2 linked regions of the Drosophila melanogaster genome follow. Changing the gene in region 1 together with any one later gene gives a genetic interaction. Each region holds a gene or a part of one and is shown in the gene's direction. Other genes may lie near its edges. The genes, in order: Hsp27 and slbo.

Region 1 (8,876 bases):
TGGTCTTGACGGTCAGTTCGTTGGCGGCGAACTGCTTCACATTCATGCTCACCTGGAAGCCGTTCCTATTCACCACGGAGTAGGCGGATTTGCTGGCCGCCGGTTGGCCACTGGTGCTGCCGCTTGCCCCGGACGTGCCCTTATCGCCCAATTCCTTTTCCAGCTCCACCAGCGACTTATTGCAGCAAGCAGTCTTGGCTCCGGCCACACGATTGTACGGATGATGGCGATGCTGCGATGCCGCCGACTGACCCTTGATGGGCACCCACATCATTGCATTCCCACGCCCCAACCCACGACTCAGCTGTGGCAACTGTGAGGTGGCCTCCAGTGGATACAACCCGAATCCGGCCGAATCATCTATATCCATTGCCAGGCTGCGATTGAAATCGTGCAGCTCCTCGGCCAAATCTAGTATGAACGGTATCAGCGACATTTTCACTTTCTTCCTATCTGGCTAAGATATATCTTTTATTTTTTAGGTCTTGCGGGGATTGGTGTCGTCTGGGAACCGGCGGCGATCCGTTCTGGCCTCCAACTGGACTGCGTTTGAGCCCTTATGGCTGAATGTCGACGCTTTTAAGCGGCTGTGCAGCGCTGAATGGAAAACCTGGTCACTTCCAGTCGGCTTCCATGCCAGCTCCCAGGCGAAAAACTATGCAACTCCTCCAGAGAACTCACCAAGGGGAAGGGCTACCCATTAAAACAGTCAGTCAAGCCATGTACTATGCCATTTTCTGCTATATACACCGAAATAAGAGATACTTTTCCTCTACCGCAGATAGCCAGAGAACAAAGAAAGTACTCGTACTCGTAGTCGGCAAGAAACCAGACAAACCAAACTGCAACGTTGCAAAACCAAATAAAAAAGATACGTAAAAGAGGCAAACCGGCTTGAAATCGAAGCATATATGCACGAATATCCCCCCCAAGAGATGCCATCTTCCTTGTACCGGCGATATACATATATGTACTCATATATACAAATATCCATATAGACGGGGTATATGTAAAGTGGTCGTGTTGCAGCTGAATTCCCACTGCCGGCATTGAGCGAACAGCTGAGAGTCTGAGTCTCGTGCCGGTTGCCGATGCGGATTCGAGTCGCCGGCGATAAACAACTACAACAACAGCTGGCTGGCTGGCTGGCTGGCAGGGCCGCCTGGAAGCTACAAATCCGCTGTTGCCAGAGCTGGAGGATTGGCAAGCCGGCGTCGCGTAAACATGCGCAGTGACAGCGTCTGGGGCAACCCATACATATGGTATCTCCATATACATTTGTATCTACATACATACATACATACCCTGCCACACAGATGATGATGATATTGCTGGATTCGTATGTGGTTACATAGCCAAGTGCAAGCGATGGCAACCGGTTGAAAAGCTCCAAAATGCAAAAAACAACAACAACACCAACAACATCCAGACGGGGGCCAGACAGTGGAGACTTTGCTAAAAATTTACTGGGGCCCCGAACTCAGCTGCGGGATACAATTCTGTATGGCCATATATTATATTATATAGTATGTTTGTATTGATATGGTGTATCTGCCAGCTGCAGTCGGAAAAGAGCAAAAACCTTCAGAGATTGCTGCGTACGAGATGCCCCCTTGTACATACGATACATTCCCCATGTACATACACACTGGGTACTTGCTCCCATTTACCTAACCAAGGGGAAGAAATCCGCCGGACGAGCATGCTCGCACATTATGTGGCCACCTTTTTGAATAGACAACTTCCACTGCGTTGGCGTTGGATTGTCCAAGCCCTGGGCACCAAGAGTACTCTACTTCAGTGGAGGAGGAGTGGTGACAAGAAAATGGGGCCATAAATAAAAACTCGAATTATATAACAACCAGAGATTGAGTTCTATAGCAATGCCCATGTATTATATGGTTATTCAATCGCTACTGTAACAACAAATTGTAAACAAATTGTCATTTGATTTGGTTATTACGAAGTAATTCTGAATTCTAAACAATGTGTATATAAGCTGAATATTTATCAAGTTGTACCAAGCAAATGTGCAGCTAAATCTTACATACATACATATGTATTTGTCTTAAGAAATTGGTCAAATATAATAAAAGGTTACAGCCTCGTTTTCAATAAACCAAATATTGACTATTAGAATTTATTAAATGTTTTTAATGTTTTTTGGTTTATGTTTTCATCTATCGACCTTTGAAATTCAAAATAGTTGCATTACATTTTATTCAAATAATTTTTACATCCTTCGAATCCTTTATTGTATGAATGTACATATGTTCCAAATCGTATCATTTTTACATTTTCTTACTGATTGGAGTAATAATACGCTTACATCCCATGGGTTATTACCTACCCGGCATTAACCACTTATGTATTTTAATTAGATTTCCCCACTACAGAGCCCCATTCTTGGATATTAATTAAAGTTAATAGCTTAAATGCCAGGCCATAAAAAGAAGAACTGTTCTGCAGTCTCGAAGTTTCGCGAATTTACTCCATCCTTCGTGGAATATACTCCAACCTTCCTATCTGCTATGTATGTACATACATACGTGCTTACATACGTACATCTATACATACACATAATATTTGCCGGTGCTGATGCGACTTATCACTCCACCAGGCCTTTTCATTCCCACTCCCCTAGGAGATTGCTCATTTTCCATAGCGATACTCTCACTTTCAATGGCAGATAATGCGTAATTGCGGCAAATTCGAGAACTCTGCGATATTTTCAGCCCGAGAAGTTTCGTGTCCCTTCTCGATGTCGATGTTTGTGCCCCCTAGCACACAGACACGACGCGCACACACACAGCGCCGACGGGCGCACGCACACTACGATAGCGAGCGGTTGTATAAATAACCGGCACTTTCGTGCAACCGGCGTCAGTTGAATTCAAAAAGCCAAAGCGATAACAGCTAAAGCGAAAGTAACCTATCAACAAAAGAAGTTTATTCTTTGAAGGAGAATCATCTTGAAGCAATTAAAAAACAAAAATGGCAAATATTCCATTGTTGTTGAGCCTTGCCGACGATTTGGGCCGAATGTCGATGGTGCCCTTCTATGAGCCCTACTACTGCCAGCGCCAGAGGAATCCCTACTTGGCCCTGGTTGGACCGATGGAGCAGCAGCTGCGCCAGCTGGAGAAACAGGTGGGCGCCTCGTCGGGATCGTCGGGAGCCGTGTCGAAAATCGGAAAGGATGGCTTCCAGGTCTGCATGGATGTGTCGCACTTCAAGCCCAGCGAACTGGTGGTCAAAGTGCAGGACAACTCCGTCCTGGTGGAGGGCAACCATGAGGAGCGCGAAGATGACCATGGCTTCATCACTCGTCACTTTGTCCGCCGCTATGCTCTGCCACCCGGTTATGAGGCTGATAAGGTGGCCTCCACCTTGTCCTCCGATGGTGTCCTGACCATCAAGGTGCCCAAGCCACCGGCAATCGAGGATAAGGGCAACGAGCGCATCGTTCAGATCCAGCAGGTGGGACCCGCCCATCTCAATGTGAAGGAGAATCCCAAGGAGGCGGTGGAGCAGGACAATGGCAACGATAAGTAGAGGACTCGTTCCGAGAGATGCCCTGCATTATTTAACCATTATCAAAGTCATACATCTGTTTTATAAGCTGTAGTTATCCAAGGACACTTCACTCATACACAATAGCCATTAAGGGTGTCCTGCTTTAATCTTAGTTTGGAATATGTATTACTAAATTGGCGAAATTAATATTACCCATAAAAATAAATAACAAGTACACTTACTTATAATTGTGTTTGGTCTGTTTTTCTGGTTGGTTATGGGTTACTATTACTATTACTTTGGGAATTGTTTGGCTAGCTTGGCCCTTTTTCCTGTGATCCCGGTTTCTAGAATTTACTTTCTGCATTGTATATTGCATTGTTGTGTCACGTAAAATGGCATTTTTATTTAATTGTTGTTTGTGTACATAACTGACTTTTTACATTACTTCGGTAAAGAGACTTGAAGCTATGAATGTAAGGAACTTCAGTCAAGGTTAAATCCTTATGTAAAGCATGCATAAGTACATCATGTACATACATACGTACATAAGAATATACATCCCTTTTCACTCTCTTCTTTTTAATGAATTTCTGTCATCTCTACAAGAGATGTACGTTATGTACGTCCTTATAGCACGTACCTATGTACATGTATAAATTGAACTTCATTTTTGTATGTTACCGCAAATAATTACGTGCATGCACACATACACATACATATGTATGTATGCATGTAGTTTTGAAAATAATTATGTATTTTGGTTAACTGGTGAACCAAGAATAAAAAGATTCTATATACACATATACATATATATAGAAATGTATGCATATGTACATATAATAATCGAAACACTTGCAACAGACTGGCAATGATTTGCAAAATTTTCAATTGCCCCGTTTCCCACTTCGCGAAGCAGTGGCGAAAGCAACTGCAAAAATGTTTGCAACAAACAAAAGAACGGCAAACATGAGGAGCAGAACGAAGCGAGACAAGGGTTCAATGCACTTGTCCAATGAAAATACAAGCTCTGTTGCACTCTGAAAAGACAGCTTTTAAAAGAGCGATAAGAGAAGAAAATGCTTTAAATAAATACATATATCTGCATATATACGTACATGTACATACATATGTATGTACTGCATTTTAACTGTTCGTTTTGCTTTTTATTCGCAAAGAGAAACTCCCCAGAAAAGAAATGTCAAGAAGTTTCTGGTTCTTTCTCCCTCTCTCTATGAAAAGCCGGCTGTGCTAGAAAGAGCCAGAAGATGCGAGAGAAAACTGTTTGTTGAATTACGGGGCGTATTCAAAGGGGCTTTTAAATGTCGCTTAAATTTTAAGTTTGACAGGCTAATAATTGCTTGCCTATATCTAAATATTATTATATTTGCATTAGGGGATCATAGGGAAAACCTTCTCTGCAGGCAAAATCTAACGAAGATGGCAACCCCCCATCATTTTATTAAAGTTCCGTCCCTGGTTGCCATGCACTAGTGTGTGTGAGCCCAGCGTCAGTATAAAAGCCGGCGTCAACGTCGCCCGAGCACAGTCTAAACTGAAAAATTGAAGGCAAACGTTGAAGCAAACTTCGCTAAAAAAATTCGAAAAAGCAAAAAAAATTCCTTTGTCTAGACAGGGTTGTGAATAAAGAGAAAAAAAATCAAAAATGTCAATTATACCACTGCTGCACTTGGCCCGGGAGTTGGATCATGACTACCGCACCGACTGGGGGCATTTGCTGGAGGATGACTTCGGTTTTGGCGTCCATGCCCACGATCTGTTCCATCCGCGTCGCCTGCTACTGCCCAACACCCTGGGACTGGGTCGTCGTCGTTATTCGCCGTACGAGAGGAGCCATGGCCACCACAATCAAATGTCACGTCGCGCGTCGGGGGGTCCAAACGCTCTGCTGCCCGCCGTGGGCAAAGATGGCTTCCAGGTGTGCATGGATGTGTCGCAGTTCAAGCCCAACGAGCTGACCGTCAAGGTGGTGGACAACACCGTGGTGGTAGAGGGGAAGCACGAGGAGCGCGAGGACGGCCATGGAATGATCCAGCGTCACTTTGTGCGCAAGTATACCCTGCCCAAGGGCTTTGACCCCAACGAGGTAGTGTCCACTGTCTCATCCGACGGTGTGCTGACCCTCAAGGCCCCGCCGCCGCCCAGCAAGGAACAGGCCAAGTCGGAGCGCATTGTCCAGATCCAGCAAACGGGGCCTGCCCATTTGAGCGTCAAGGCACCGGCACCCGAGGCTGGCGATGGAAAAGCCGAAAATGGCAGCGGCGAGAAAATGGAGACTAGCAAGTAAAAGACGAAAAGAGGAAGACTAGGAGATGAAGAAGACGAGAAGAGGAAGAAGACTAGAAGAGGAAGAAGTCGTGAAGGAGGAAGAAGACGACGAGATTCGCTGGCGAAGCACGAGAGAAAGAAGAATTTAAAAGAAGAAACGGGAGTGTTGCCGCGCTGCTCGGAGAGAGCAAGACTAAAAAGGACACACCACAACACACCCAATGTATTACATTCACACACATCACATCATTACATCATCATCATAACATCCTAGACTAAGTGATTTTAAACTCCATTTATCATAATGCATAAAAAAAACAAAATTTTAGTGTGTATTATTAGGCTAAACAACTGGAGGATTCATTGCTCCCTTTGAGTTTATACTTTTTGTAACAAGAACAGGCGCAACACTCGGGAGAATTTTGCATTTCATTTGTGAATAAACGAATACAATAAATACAAATACACGAAAAGAAGTCAGCTGTCGAGTTTTTGTTGGTTTTTTTTCCTTTTTAGCTTCGAATCTGCAAATGTATTTGCATTTAGGGTAAACCGGCTTTTGTTGGGTGTCGTTAACTTTCAAGGGGTCTTATGTACATATTCTGTTTTCCTTGTCCTTGAATTGGACTTGTGGAAAATTAAATGGTCAGCCAATTGCTTAACCTTTGTCGACGATTGTTATGATGATTTGTAATGATTTTGCACAATTCAGAAATCGATATAAAAAAAAATGGGAAATGATTTTTGTTTTTCAATTACATTTTGACAAACGTCATGCAAATATTTCCAGTTCCGCGCACACTGAAAGAAAATCCAAGATAAGAACGACATTTAAATAATTTAATCAATTGTTTGCACATATTTATTTAAATATTTAATACATAATAAAAAATTTAGTTGCCCGTTCTGATTTCATATTGGTTGTTTTATGCTCGTAACTTGTAGCGATCATAAGTATTTACTGTTAATTCTATATCTATATCTAAAACGGCTTTCATTCATATTTCTCAGCTGGGTGTTGAGATACGGATATATCTCAGTTTTCTCGGCTCCGTGGAGCTTTCGCTGTTAACCGCGAAAAAGCTTTTAGTGGTTGTCATGTTGCTGTTGTTGGTTTTATCTTAGTTGATGTTAAGTAAAAATGTATTTTATGTATTTTTCTGCATTTTCTACGGCTGCGGCTGCTGTCAATATGTTTTTGCTTGCATTTATGCACGTTATGTATGTATATTCAATGACGCTTAATCACAGATCAATTTTTTAAAATTTCATTTGACTTAGAAGTTAAGAAACAAAACACATCCGAAGCACGAGAGAAAGAAGAATTTAAAAGAAGAAACGGGAGTGTTGCCGCGCTGCTCGGAGAGAGCAAGACTAAAAAGGACACACCACAACACACCCAATGTATTACATTCACACACATCACATCATTACATCATCATCATAACATCCTAGACTAAGTGATTTTAAACTCCATTTATCATAATGCATAAAAAAAACAAAATTTTAGTGTGTATTATTAGGCTAAACAACTGGAGGATTCATTGCTCCCTTTGAGTTTATACTTTTTGTAACAAGAACAGGCGCAACACTCGGGAGAATTTTGCATTTCATTTGTGAATAAACGAATACAATAAATACAAATACACGAAAAGAAGTCAGCTGTCGAGTTTTTGTTGGTTTTTTTTCCTTTTTAGCTTCGAATCTGCAAATGTATTTGCATTTAGGGTAAACCGGCTTTTGTTGGGTGTCGTTAACTTTCAAGGGGTCTTATGTACATATTCTGTTTTCCTTGTCCTTGAATTGGACTTGTGGAAAATTAAATGGTCAGCCAATTGCTTAACCTTTGTCGACGATTGTTATGATGATTTGTAATGATTTTGCACAATTCAGAAATCGATATAAAAAAAAATGGGAAATGATTTTTGTTTTTCAATTACATTTTGACAAACGTCATGCAAATATTTCCAGTTCCGCGCACACTGAAAGAAAATCCAAGATAAGAACGACATTTAAATAATTTAATCAATTGTTTGCACATATTTATTTAAATATTTAATACATAATAAAAAATTTAGTTGCCCGTTCTGATTTCATATTGGTTGTTTTATGCTCGTAACTTGTAGCGATCATAAGTATTTACTGTTAATTCTATATCTATATCTAAAACGGCTTTCATTCATATTTCTCAGCTGGGTGTTGAGATACGGATATATCTCAGTTTTCTCGGCTCCGTGGAGCTTTCGCTGTTAACCGCGAAAAAGCTTTTAGTGGTTGTCATGTTGCTGTTGTTGGTTTTATCTTAGTTGATGTTAAGTAAAAATGTATTTTATGTATTTTTCTGCATTTTCTACGGCTGCGGCTGCTGTCAATATGTTTTTGCTTGCATTTATGCACGTTATGTATGTATATTCAATGACGCTTAATCACAGATCAATTTTTTAAAATTTCATTTGACTTAGAAGTTAAGAAACAAAACACATCCTACACATGGACTAAATAATTACCGTCTCTGGTTGGTTTTTGGGCTTTTTGGCATGGACAACTTAGTGGACATACATATATGTATATGGTATGGGATCGGAGAGGCTGGATAATAAAAGCAGTACACGAATAGAGGATAAATTATACATCGATTTAGCCACTAAATCAATATACTGGTTCTAAATGTTAAGATAACTTAACTTAACTTTTTTTTTTGTGTTTTGTGTTAATCATTGCAGTCTCAAATTGTTTATGGGCTTTGCTATATAAAGAGGAGAACATAGGGATTGTTGGGCCGCTGGCCACGATATGGCTTTTGAAGCCCCTTGGTGTGCGGTATAAAAAATAGTATTTCGATTTTACTTTCTATGTGGATCTCGGGGTCTCCGTCGACCAGCGGTGAATACTTGAGAGAGCAGAGCTTATTGGGGGGAGAAAGAGCGCGCAGATCATAGTGGATCACATCAGATCAGTTGGGCAGGATACTCCATTTCACTTCTGGAGTAGACTTTCACAGCTGCTGCTGAGATTTGGCAACGACTTGAAACTGAGCCGCGAGCGATCCACCTGGGCGTCCGAGGGACCGT
Region 2 (9,752 bases), on another chromosome or scaffold:
TCGTTCTCGTTCCCGATCTCAAACTCGCGGGCAATTGTGGGGCATTTTTAATTTGTGCCCGGCTTTGACTTTTGCCTGGAAATCAGAGCAGTGGTCGGAGTCGCCTGGAAGCGGACTGTGCGACCTTATCGCGCCCACTGTGCGCAAATGCACAAATGCACAAATGCACACACAAAATGTCAATTCTGCGCACGTCGCTTCACCAGGCATCCCAATCAGTCGTGCCCCGGCCACTATGCGGCCCCCCAATCCCCACCAGAGTCCGCAAGGGGGTGGACCAGCGGACTCTGGCCAGGCTCCTTGGCCTCTGGCCGGCCTGGCAGCTCGTCATCATTATCTCTGCGCTCTGCCAACATCACAAATAATATGAGGAAGGCACAAAAAGGCAACACAATCGAGGGCCCAAGAGCCGGTCACTCACTGTTGGCCTGCAAATAAACTATTTCAATCAATGCGTTTGTCGTCGGGCCATCGATCGCATGCCAAAGGTAGTTAGGCATCCCATAGGATGAGTTGTGGGCTCATCGGGCTGCTTTTTCGATGTATTTTCGAGGATCGGGCGATGGGCAGCATGGAAATGGGCGCAAAGGTGAGAGGCGAACAATAAATACCAACGCTCAGCTTACAATTTACTTAAGAAATTTCAAAAATTCCCTCGGATCGTATATAAAATACTTTTGTTTTTATCAATACTATACATAAGTCTTTTTACCTAATATAAATGATTAAAATATATTACTTGCCGTATTTTCAGATTTTGAATTGCATGAATTGGCGCCAACTGACAAGCAGGTCACCTTTCCCAAGCAGTGCACCATATACTCATAACTTCTTGCCTAGATGGCGCCACATAAGTTATCGGAGAACTTTTAAGCAAGCAGTATACCTATCGATATAAAACTGCTTTACAAGCGCTGCTTAAATTCAAATTCAAATTGTTCAAACGTATTTTAACTTTCTACGCGCCATTTGCTAATAGCTTTGAAAATAAGTAGTAAGTTAATATATGCTTAAGTTTTACATAATTTTTAAAATAGATTTTATTGTTATAAATATAATTACACATGGACAACAATGAAACAAAATGATGTTTTAAAATTTGATTAGATTAAAATATAATAATTGAAATATTTGTTATTTTTGGTTGAACTCGATGGCTCGCGCGTTTTATTCTCACGCTCCTATTAATTGGCAAGACTTTTCTAAGCAGCGGGCAGCGAAAAGTTTTCGCCGAAGAGCCGACTTTCATTGCCGAATCGCCTCGCATCAGCACTAAATATTATTAATTTCTGTACTCATCAGCACACGGCGACAGGGAACGGGCTCGTTTTCTGTGGAAGTAGAGTCAGAATTACAGAAGTGAAGCGCAAAAGCACGAGAATCCCCTTTGGAAAAGAGTTTGGGGTCGTCGAACTGGTTGCATTTAAATGGTGTTAAGTACACTGCAATTAGGTGGAAACCACCGGAGTTTTGGCTAACTGGGTTTTGTGAAAAGTATGAACTTATCTGCTGCGATGAGTCAATAAAGAAGCGTACTTATGGAATTAATATCTATTCTATCAGTACAAAATTCACCGCACCAAAACAAAAAAGCTTCCTAGAAAGGTCTTTCCTATAAACAAGGCCGTGAGAATGAAGCGAGTGTGTAACCCAACCCCATCGACTCGAGTTCACTTCGATTGAGCTCGGATTTGAGGAAGTGCAGAGTTAAATTGGCTACGCGTCATCGAGATAAGTTGACTGCGAGTGGCGAATAAAATGAAGACAAAACAAAACACAACGCCGTCTAGAAATCATTGGCCAAAACTCCCAATTATGGCCGTGTTTATAAACACAATTCAGTCGGAGTTTCGCATGTGTCAGACAACTTTTTGCAGAGTGCAACGAACGCCAGTTGTGAATTGTGAATTGTGGCCGCTACTCGTATTTGTTTTGTTTACGAATTCGCGGCTTTTGGCCGTCTTATCAGTCGTTTGCCAAAATATATAAATAAAACTCTTAGGCACTTTGCGCGTGGGCGTTGTCGACGGCAGATAAATACGCCTACAATTTCCCTTTTGGGAAAACGCTGAAATGGATCAAGGTGATAAAGAGCTGCTTATCTGCTAGACTTTCTCCAAGTTTGGTATCAATGGGTAAATATCTATGATTTATGCTAGCATCTCTATGAATACCCTACTCAATTTTAAAAAGTGAAATTACTGGGGGCCAATGGTATTTGCGTTTTTAATCTTATCAGGGCTAACACCTTCTTGTTGGCCAAAGGGCTGGTATTTATAGCCAGTCCACCTACTTGCTAATTTGAAGTGTTTTTTTTTTAAATTTATTTTAAAAAATTTATGCTTTCAAGTTTTTATAAATAGGTAACTTTAGGTAAGCCTTGGACGATTCCAGTTAGCAGGAGGATAAGCAAATAAATAAATGACTTTGCTTTGCTTTAATCCCATTTAACCAGTAGTTTCTCCATAAACAATCTGATAAGATAAGGTGCACATGGATCGATCTTGCCTCATTTAAATTGCAGATTTCATCACCTTTCCCATCGATCGATATGGAATCAGTTCTTGGGTAACCAGACCGCACAATGCAATCCCCCAAGAACAATAAGGGTGCGTTGAATGCGTTTTGAAATACACCCGACCAGAAGAATATCTTTGTGGACGCACAAGGAAGCACTTTTGCACAATCTCGATGCAGTCATCGATATCGGCGATATTTCCGATTCGCTGCAATAGCTTGACTGATAAGCGAAGAAAAGTGGCTGTCCTGTCATCGACAGCGGAATACCCTCTTATCGTGCAACGGCGCACGGGGCGTATGATTAATAAAGTCCGGGTAAACAAAAGGTACATACACGAAGGCAGAAGACGGGGGCGAGAGGCGGGGCCGAAAGCAGGGGACGCACCTTCGGAAAGTAAACGACAACTTGACCCAAATTGCAGACTCGAAAACTCAGGAGAGTCAGCAGAGTGAGCAGAGTTAGCGGAGTGAGCACCAAGCAGAAGAGCGCCAATGGGGGAAAAGTGGAGAAGGCGACTTCACAAATCGCTGCATTTAAATAAACAAAACTACGAGCCGTGCTAATTTTTATGAATTTCATAACACAGTCTTAATTTTAATAAGACGTCGCTGCCTATTACGTGAAAGCTCCGCGATGCGTTGCGCTTCCACTGCGCAGTCACGCATGCGCGCCAAAAACAGGCCCCAATCCCCAAGCCCCCAATCCCCCGATCCACCAAGTAACTGCACTTCTGTGTTTTTTTTTGCTTTTCTGTATTTCTAAGGCGCAAAGCGAGTCGAAGCCCAAACACAAATCGGAGTGGGCAAGGCCCCAAAATGGGGGTCGGGGGTTACGCAGCGGAGTGCCGGTGTGTGCGGGCGTGGTGTTGTTGCTTCTCGCTGCGGCTGTGCGGCTCTTCTCCCAAAAAAAGCAAAAGCGACGGAACCGAAAATGAAAATGAAAACGAAAGCGAGAGCCAAGGAATAATGAGCGCTGGCTGCGCTGCCGACGTCGCGCGCTGCTGGTGTCTGTGCTCGCTTGAGCTTGTGTGGGTGCCTTGGGGCTCCCTTTTGTGTGACGTCACGCGATCGTGCGTTGCATTGAGTTTTATCATGAAATTCACTGCATCAGCGCATAACTAATACTGGATTCTAGGATGGGGTCTTAATTAAACAATTAATATCTAAACTAATATCTAAACTAACTTATGTGGAACATGTATAAATGTAATAAATTCTATATAAAAAATGTAATTATCCTATCAAATATGATATTAAGTTCCGGAAACTGAAGAAGTATCTCCCAGCTTCGTACCAAATGCACTTTGCTTGCATTCGTGCTTTTGGCCCGCACAGCAACCACAAGAATGGCCCAGTGAATTGCCTTGCGACGAGAGTAAAAGTGATTGGGAAAACTCTTGCTTTTTTACCTGATCGCGGCTCTCGCTCTCATCCACAGGTAGTTGCCTTTGCCTTTGCCTGGCTTACTTGTGCTTTGCCTGCTCTTGCTTTGCTTTTGCTCTGCTCGTGCTGTGCTGTGCTGCTGCCGCCTTTGCTTTGCTGTAACGGCGACGGCGACGGCAACGCTTGGGGCTTCGGTGTGGAGCGGTACGAGTGAATGTGTGTGTGTGTGTGTGTTACATGCGCTGGCCGCTCATTTTCTTTTTCTTCGGCTGCGTCGCTGCGCCAAAGACTTTTTCACTTTGCCGCGTTCGCGTTCGCGTTTTGTCACAGTTACAATTTACCACTCGTCGGCGACGGACGCGCGCTCTCCGCTGGCCAAGAAAATCCAAATCGAAGAAAAGCTCGCTCAGCTAACGGTTCTTCAGGAGCGTTTCTAACACCAGCACACGTACGTGTACGAGTACGAGAGTACTAGCCAACGGCAGTCGTCAGGCCGTCTCGTATAAAATCTGTTGCATCACTGCCGCGGCACTTCAGTCGTTCGAACGCGTGCGGCCGGAGAAGTGCAGTGTCGAGTTAACAAAGTAAACAAACTGAATAAAACATTTTGCGCTAAGAATCGGAAACATAATAAGCAATAGTACGATGCTCGGCTGCAGTGACCACCCAGGCAGCCTAAGATGAAGCATACGGAATAGCGAGCTATCCGAGTCGAACATTTCCAAAGACCCACTTCTTACCTCAGTGCAATGCTTTAGGCGCCAAACGAGCAAAAGTTTATTCCCAAATCTGAACTCTAAAAACAGCCAAAATTAACGCTCTACAAGGAATCAAGATTCTACCCTCCTTCGCGCAACTGAAAATGCTGAACATGGAGTCGCCGCAGATGTACGCCGATGCCGTTCAGACATTGGCCCAGCTGGACCTCAAGAAGGAGCCTCCCCTGCAGCAGGCCACCATTGGCCAGATCACACTGACGGCCATGTCCACGGCGCAGCAGCAGCAGCAACAACAGCAGCAGCAACAGCAGCAGCAACAGCAGCAGCAACAACAGCAGCAGCAGCAACCCCAGCAGCAGACTACCGATGCGAACAACAACACGTCGCAGGACGCGGCACTCCTGGTCAAGCAGCACGCCATGCACCAGATGCAACAGGTCGCCGCATTGGGCAGCAACAACAACCTGCTGCAGAAGCAGATGCTGCAGCAGTACTCCACTCAGACGGACCTGGACGAGCTGACCACCCAGGAGATCACGCTCGACCTGCAGCACCTGATAGACGACCAGTTCAGGGACACGGAAACGCTGGGCATCTTCAGCGACATGGTGACCAGTCCGGGCGGACTCTCGGCCACCCTGCCGCCGAGCGGAATGGTCTCGGCGGCGGCGAAGGTCCTGCAGCAGCAGACCCTGCGGAACCAGCACGGCTACGGGGGCAGGGGAGGCGGTGGCGGAGCAGGAGGCGCCCTGGCCTACATGCCGCAGCCCGTGCACGCCACCTACAACAATTCCAGCGACGAGAACAGCTCCGTGGGCTCCGACTCCAGCACGATCAAGGAGGAGCCCATCGACCCCGAGTACAGGCGGCACCTGCAGGAGGCGGCTAGCCAGCAGGCCGCCTTCATGGGCAATGGAGCAGGCCTGTACAACGGCTACGGATCGGGGGCGAATGGCTTGACCGGGGGCGGAAACCCACTCAACGGAGGCAACACCACGCCCAGCAGCAACGGGAGCAACGGCAGCACGGGCAGCAGCAACGGCAGCCAGTTCACCAACCTGACGACGGCCAACGTCCTGGCGCACCACAACCTGCCCCACCTGGCGGCCGCAGCAGGAGCACACAATCTGCTCAAGCAGCACAGCAAGCTGCACGCGCAGCAGCAGCATCAGCAGCACCAGCAACAGCAGCAGCACCGCAAGCACAGCAACAAGCATGTGGACAAGGGCACGGATGAGTACCGCAGGCGGCGGGAGCGGAACAACATAGCGGTGCGCAAGAGCCGGGAGAAGGCTAAGGTGCGCTCCCGCGAGGTGGAGGAGCGCGTGAAGAGCCTGCTCAAGGAGAAGGACGCCCTCATTCGGCAGCTTGGTGAGATGACCAACGAGCTGCAGCTACACAAGCAGATCTACATGCAGCTAATGAACCACGCCAATCCCGAAGTGAGCCGCGTCTGCCGCAGCTTCCTCAACACCAACGAACACTCGCTGTAGCCGCTGCCAGCTAAAGCCAGTGTCCTGCGAGTTCTGTGTGTGCGTGAGTGCTTGAATGCTTGAGTGCTCGTGTGTGTGTGTGTATGAGTGTGTGAGTGCTCCAGCCGTAAGTGTGTGCGTGTGAGCGAGACTCTGCTAAATCAAAGATACAAATGCTGTGTGGGTAGCTCGTAAGGTTCATTCTCCTCCTGCTCCTCATTGTCCTCTCTGGCCGTAGACGATGGAGCGGTCGCGCCAAGTTGGTGGGCCGCTGCATCGCTTGGAGACCAAACTCTTCTGCCGATCGCTGTGGCATTCCTTGTACATTTACTCTGTCCCCATTTCTTGTTATCACTGTAAAGCATATTTTTGTACTTAATTCTAATTCTTAACGACTGTAACATATATATTTCGCACGTTTTTATACATAATCTTATACATTATATCTATCATAAAGTTAAGCCAAAGAAAAATGTTAAAAATATTAATGTAAAAAAGAATAACACGCAGGAACGAAGAACGAAAATACAAACTTCAAAACCTATTAACTATTTATACATCTAATTCAAATGTGTACAGTTCTCGACGGTGTGCGGCTTCGCTCTATGCTTGATGCCACGCCCACTCCCACGCCCAGCCCTGCTTGACACACAACATTAGCAAATCTCTAGTTCGTAAGTCGGAGAATCAAGCATCGCTTTACCTGCACAATCCCCAGAGGAAAGCCTCCCGAAATCAACCAACTTGTAGCGAATTCCACGGGTTCGCTTCCGAGAGCGTAGAAGATATGAATGCTATTAATTGTAAGGCAAACGCAATGTTCTCATTTTAATTTATATATTCGTAAATTAAATATACACAAACAAAGAAAACTGTAAAGCAAATCTAAACAAATTAAATAAAATTTACCTTATACAAAGAATCGGCTTGTCGTGCGTTTTGACTAAAACCCAAATGAATTTCAGATAACTTCTTAATTTCCACAGTTCAACTACCAATCTGCAATTAGCCCTAGCCACAATTTGATGCAAAAGCCCTGCCAAAAAGTGTCTAATTAAATGTCGGCCATACTTGGGCGACAAAACGATACGCTGGGCGAAGACCAGAAAGAGACGCACCACCACCGCATTGGGAGGGCAGGGTCTTTCTTCTGTCCGCCGTCTTCTGTCTTCGCTGTCTTCGCTGTCTTCCGATGGGACAAATACGACAAGGCAATGCATTTCGGGCTGCCAGGCGCGACACTGGGCCAATTGCAGGGAGGAAGGAGGGCGAAGTGGAGGACCCCAGACAATCGCAAGGCGGCCGTGTTGACACAATTTGACAGTAAGACAAACCCGAAACGAAAAGCAAATTTATAAACGACAAAGCGAAAAAGAATTAATGCAACTCGAGAAACCGACAAATTAACGCGCCAGAGAAAGCCCAAACAAAAGCCACAGAGCCACGGAGCCAGAGAGCCAAAAAACGCATGCCGACCTGGGGCAGATAATCACTTACAGACATTTGGGCTCGGGCTAAGCCCTTTTGGTCAAAACTTTCTTTCCATCCGTATCTGTATCTTGGCCAACTGCTGCTGCTGCTGCTGCTGCTGCGTGCGTCCAATTTGTCTAGCTGCATTGTTGAGCACTTTGATTGATGAAAGCTAATTGCGCATGCACTCTGGGCCCAAAAGTGAAATTGCTTCGAACTTGTGGGTGTCGCTCGGTAGCCACAAACCGCAGCCACAACCGAAATCCATCCCAATCCCATTTAAGCCTGACTTTGATAAGGGTTCTAAGCAGCTTACGGAGAAAGTTCGCCCCCTGCAGCGGGATTCCTGCCGAATGCCGAATGCATCTGCGTTTTGGCAAGCGCTCAGAAATTGCCGCACAATTACTGCCCAACTAGGCGCCGCGGCAACGAGGCGTATGAGTTATGAGCGGCGGCAGCGAGAAGTGATAAATTCGCGACTCGCAACTGCAACGGGCAGACGAGGCAGCAAACACACTTCTTTCTGTCTCACCTGTACGCCGCGCTGATAAATGCTAATTGCCGCCATGAAAGAAGGCTGGGACACTTAACGACGGGCAAAGAGATTTATGAAGGAATTAATAAAGATTCTATTAAGTATGACAATAATTAGGATTTTATAAGATTAGCATCAGTTTTTTATTCGCTTACATATCCAAACAGAATATATTGAATCATATGCCAAAGTAACTGGATATCAATGGAATCAACACTAATCACAGATACGATGTTGGGTTACATGATCGAGCTTAAGCTTGGCAGATTGGACCTCCAATCAGCTTCAGCTCCAGCTCCAGATCCCGGTTTCAATCCATCTCGATTCCGTTGTCATCCAATCCATCTTTCACACTCCAGTTCCACTTCGTCCGCTCCGCATTGTTGTGGCTCCAACATCTCGACTTTAGCTGCAGCGACTATAAAAACCATAACGGAAAAAGTGGGTTACTTCACTTTTATTTTCGTGCCGCAAGAAACAGAGAGATAGAGAGAGAGAGAGAGAGAGGGAAGAGTTCGAGGGAAAGAGAGAGGCAGAGACCAACTTTACATCTATTCATCTATCTCTATTTTTCTTTTTAGCACAGATTGAGTAATAGTTAGTTGTTTGGCTTATATCTTAGAGCCGGGCTTCGTTCCCTCTCCTTTGTGCTGCCGTTCGCCTGGCAACGACGATCGTGTGGCCAACGCGGTGGTTTCACTTTCTATGCCGACTCCGACTTCGACGCAGACTGACTTTTGCTATCTAATACAGCCGCCGCAACAACAATGGCCCATCTAGCTCCACTCGAAGAAAAGTTGAGCTGCAAAAGGAGAACCAACTGTCATGAATATTTTTAAGATATTTGAGCACAAAGTATTTGAATTTTTCCTGTGCAAGTCAAGCTCCTGCCACCTAAAATATGCAACATATTCACTTTAGCCCCTCTTCTCGCAGTGTAGCACCACAATCTTTTTCTTCGCGCTTTGTTGTTTTCCCTCCACAATACATTGACTATTTTCTTTTCGACGACGCCATACGCCATACGCCATCATGTTGGACCGATCGCATAGTGTAAAAGCAGACTCGGGGAGCCAGGCTAAAAAGCCAGCTGAAGCTCTGGCTGGCTGAGATTCGGCTCCGCTCTCGTAGGAACGGCATGTATCTGCGCTTGTATCTGTATCTGCATCTGTGAGTGTATCTGTGGCCGAGTGTGGGGGTTATGTAATGGGCCAAGCCGAGTGCTGTTGTTGCTGCTTTAAAGATGCCTTTTCTTTTGTTGGGCTGTCTGCTCTGCCTGATGACCAAGTTAAGATATTATGTTCGTTATGTTGCGCTTATTAACGTGGCCCACAAAAATTGTTTAGCGTTTTGTTTTGCCTAAACGAATTTTCCGTTATAAATCAAGCGAGCTACGCGAAATAGAGACATTTGCTACGATGGCCAGATGGTAAATCATCGAATAGATTGTGCAGCCACAGCGACCCACAGCGAAAATGATATCGCATCCCCCCTTTCGCCTTCTCCCCAACTTTCCTTACGCAACTTACGTCGAGTGGAAATGCTATCCATCCATTTACCTTCTCTCGGTCCAATCAGTCGACACTGCCATTTGAAACAATTACGCAGCTCCAGCGCACATTAAAAAGAAATAAGTTTACGCGTAGTAAAAGT

Evidence for each region.
Region 2: of Hsp27 (region 1) and slbo, changing one suppresses a phenotype caused by changing the other (phenotypic suppression), as found in Drosophila melanogaster (one study listed by BioGRID).

What each region holds. Positions count from the first base shown.
Region 1 is NT_037436.4:9,379,004-9,387,879, forward strand, and holds Hsp27 (heat shock protein 27), read left to right. Parts: upstream 1-5,059; 5' UTR 5,060-5,182; coding exon 5,183-5,824; 3' UTR 5,825-6,691; downstream 6,692-8,876. Other genes in the region: Hsp67Ba (heat shock gene 67Ba), read right to left, coding at 1-436; Hsp23 (heat shock protein 23), read left to right, coding at 2,995-3,555; CG4080 (uncharacterized protein), read right to left, coding at 8,782-8,876.
Region 2 is NT_033778.4:24,328,784-24,338,535, reverse strand, and holds slbo (slow border cells), read left to right. Parts: upstream 1-4,228; 5' UTR 4,229-4,765; coding exon 4,766-6,115; 3' UTR 6,116-7,014; downstream 7,015-9,752. UniProt on the Drosophila melanogaster protein: Required for the expression of gene products mediating border cell migration. Among the DNA sequences that this protein binds with high affinity is a conserved site within the promoter of its gene.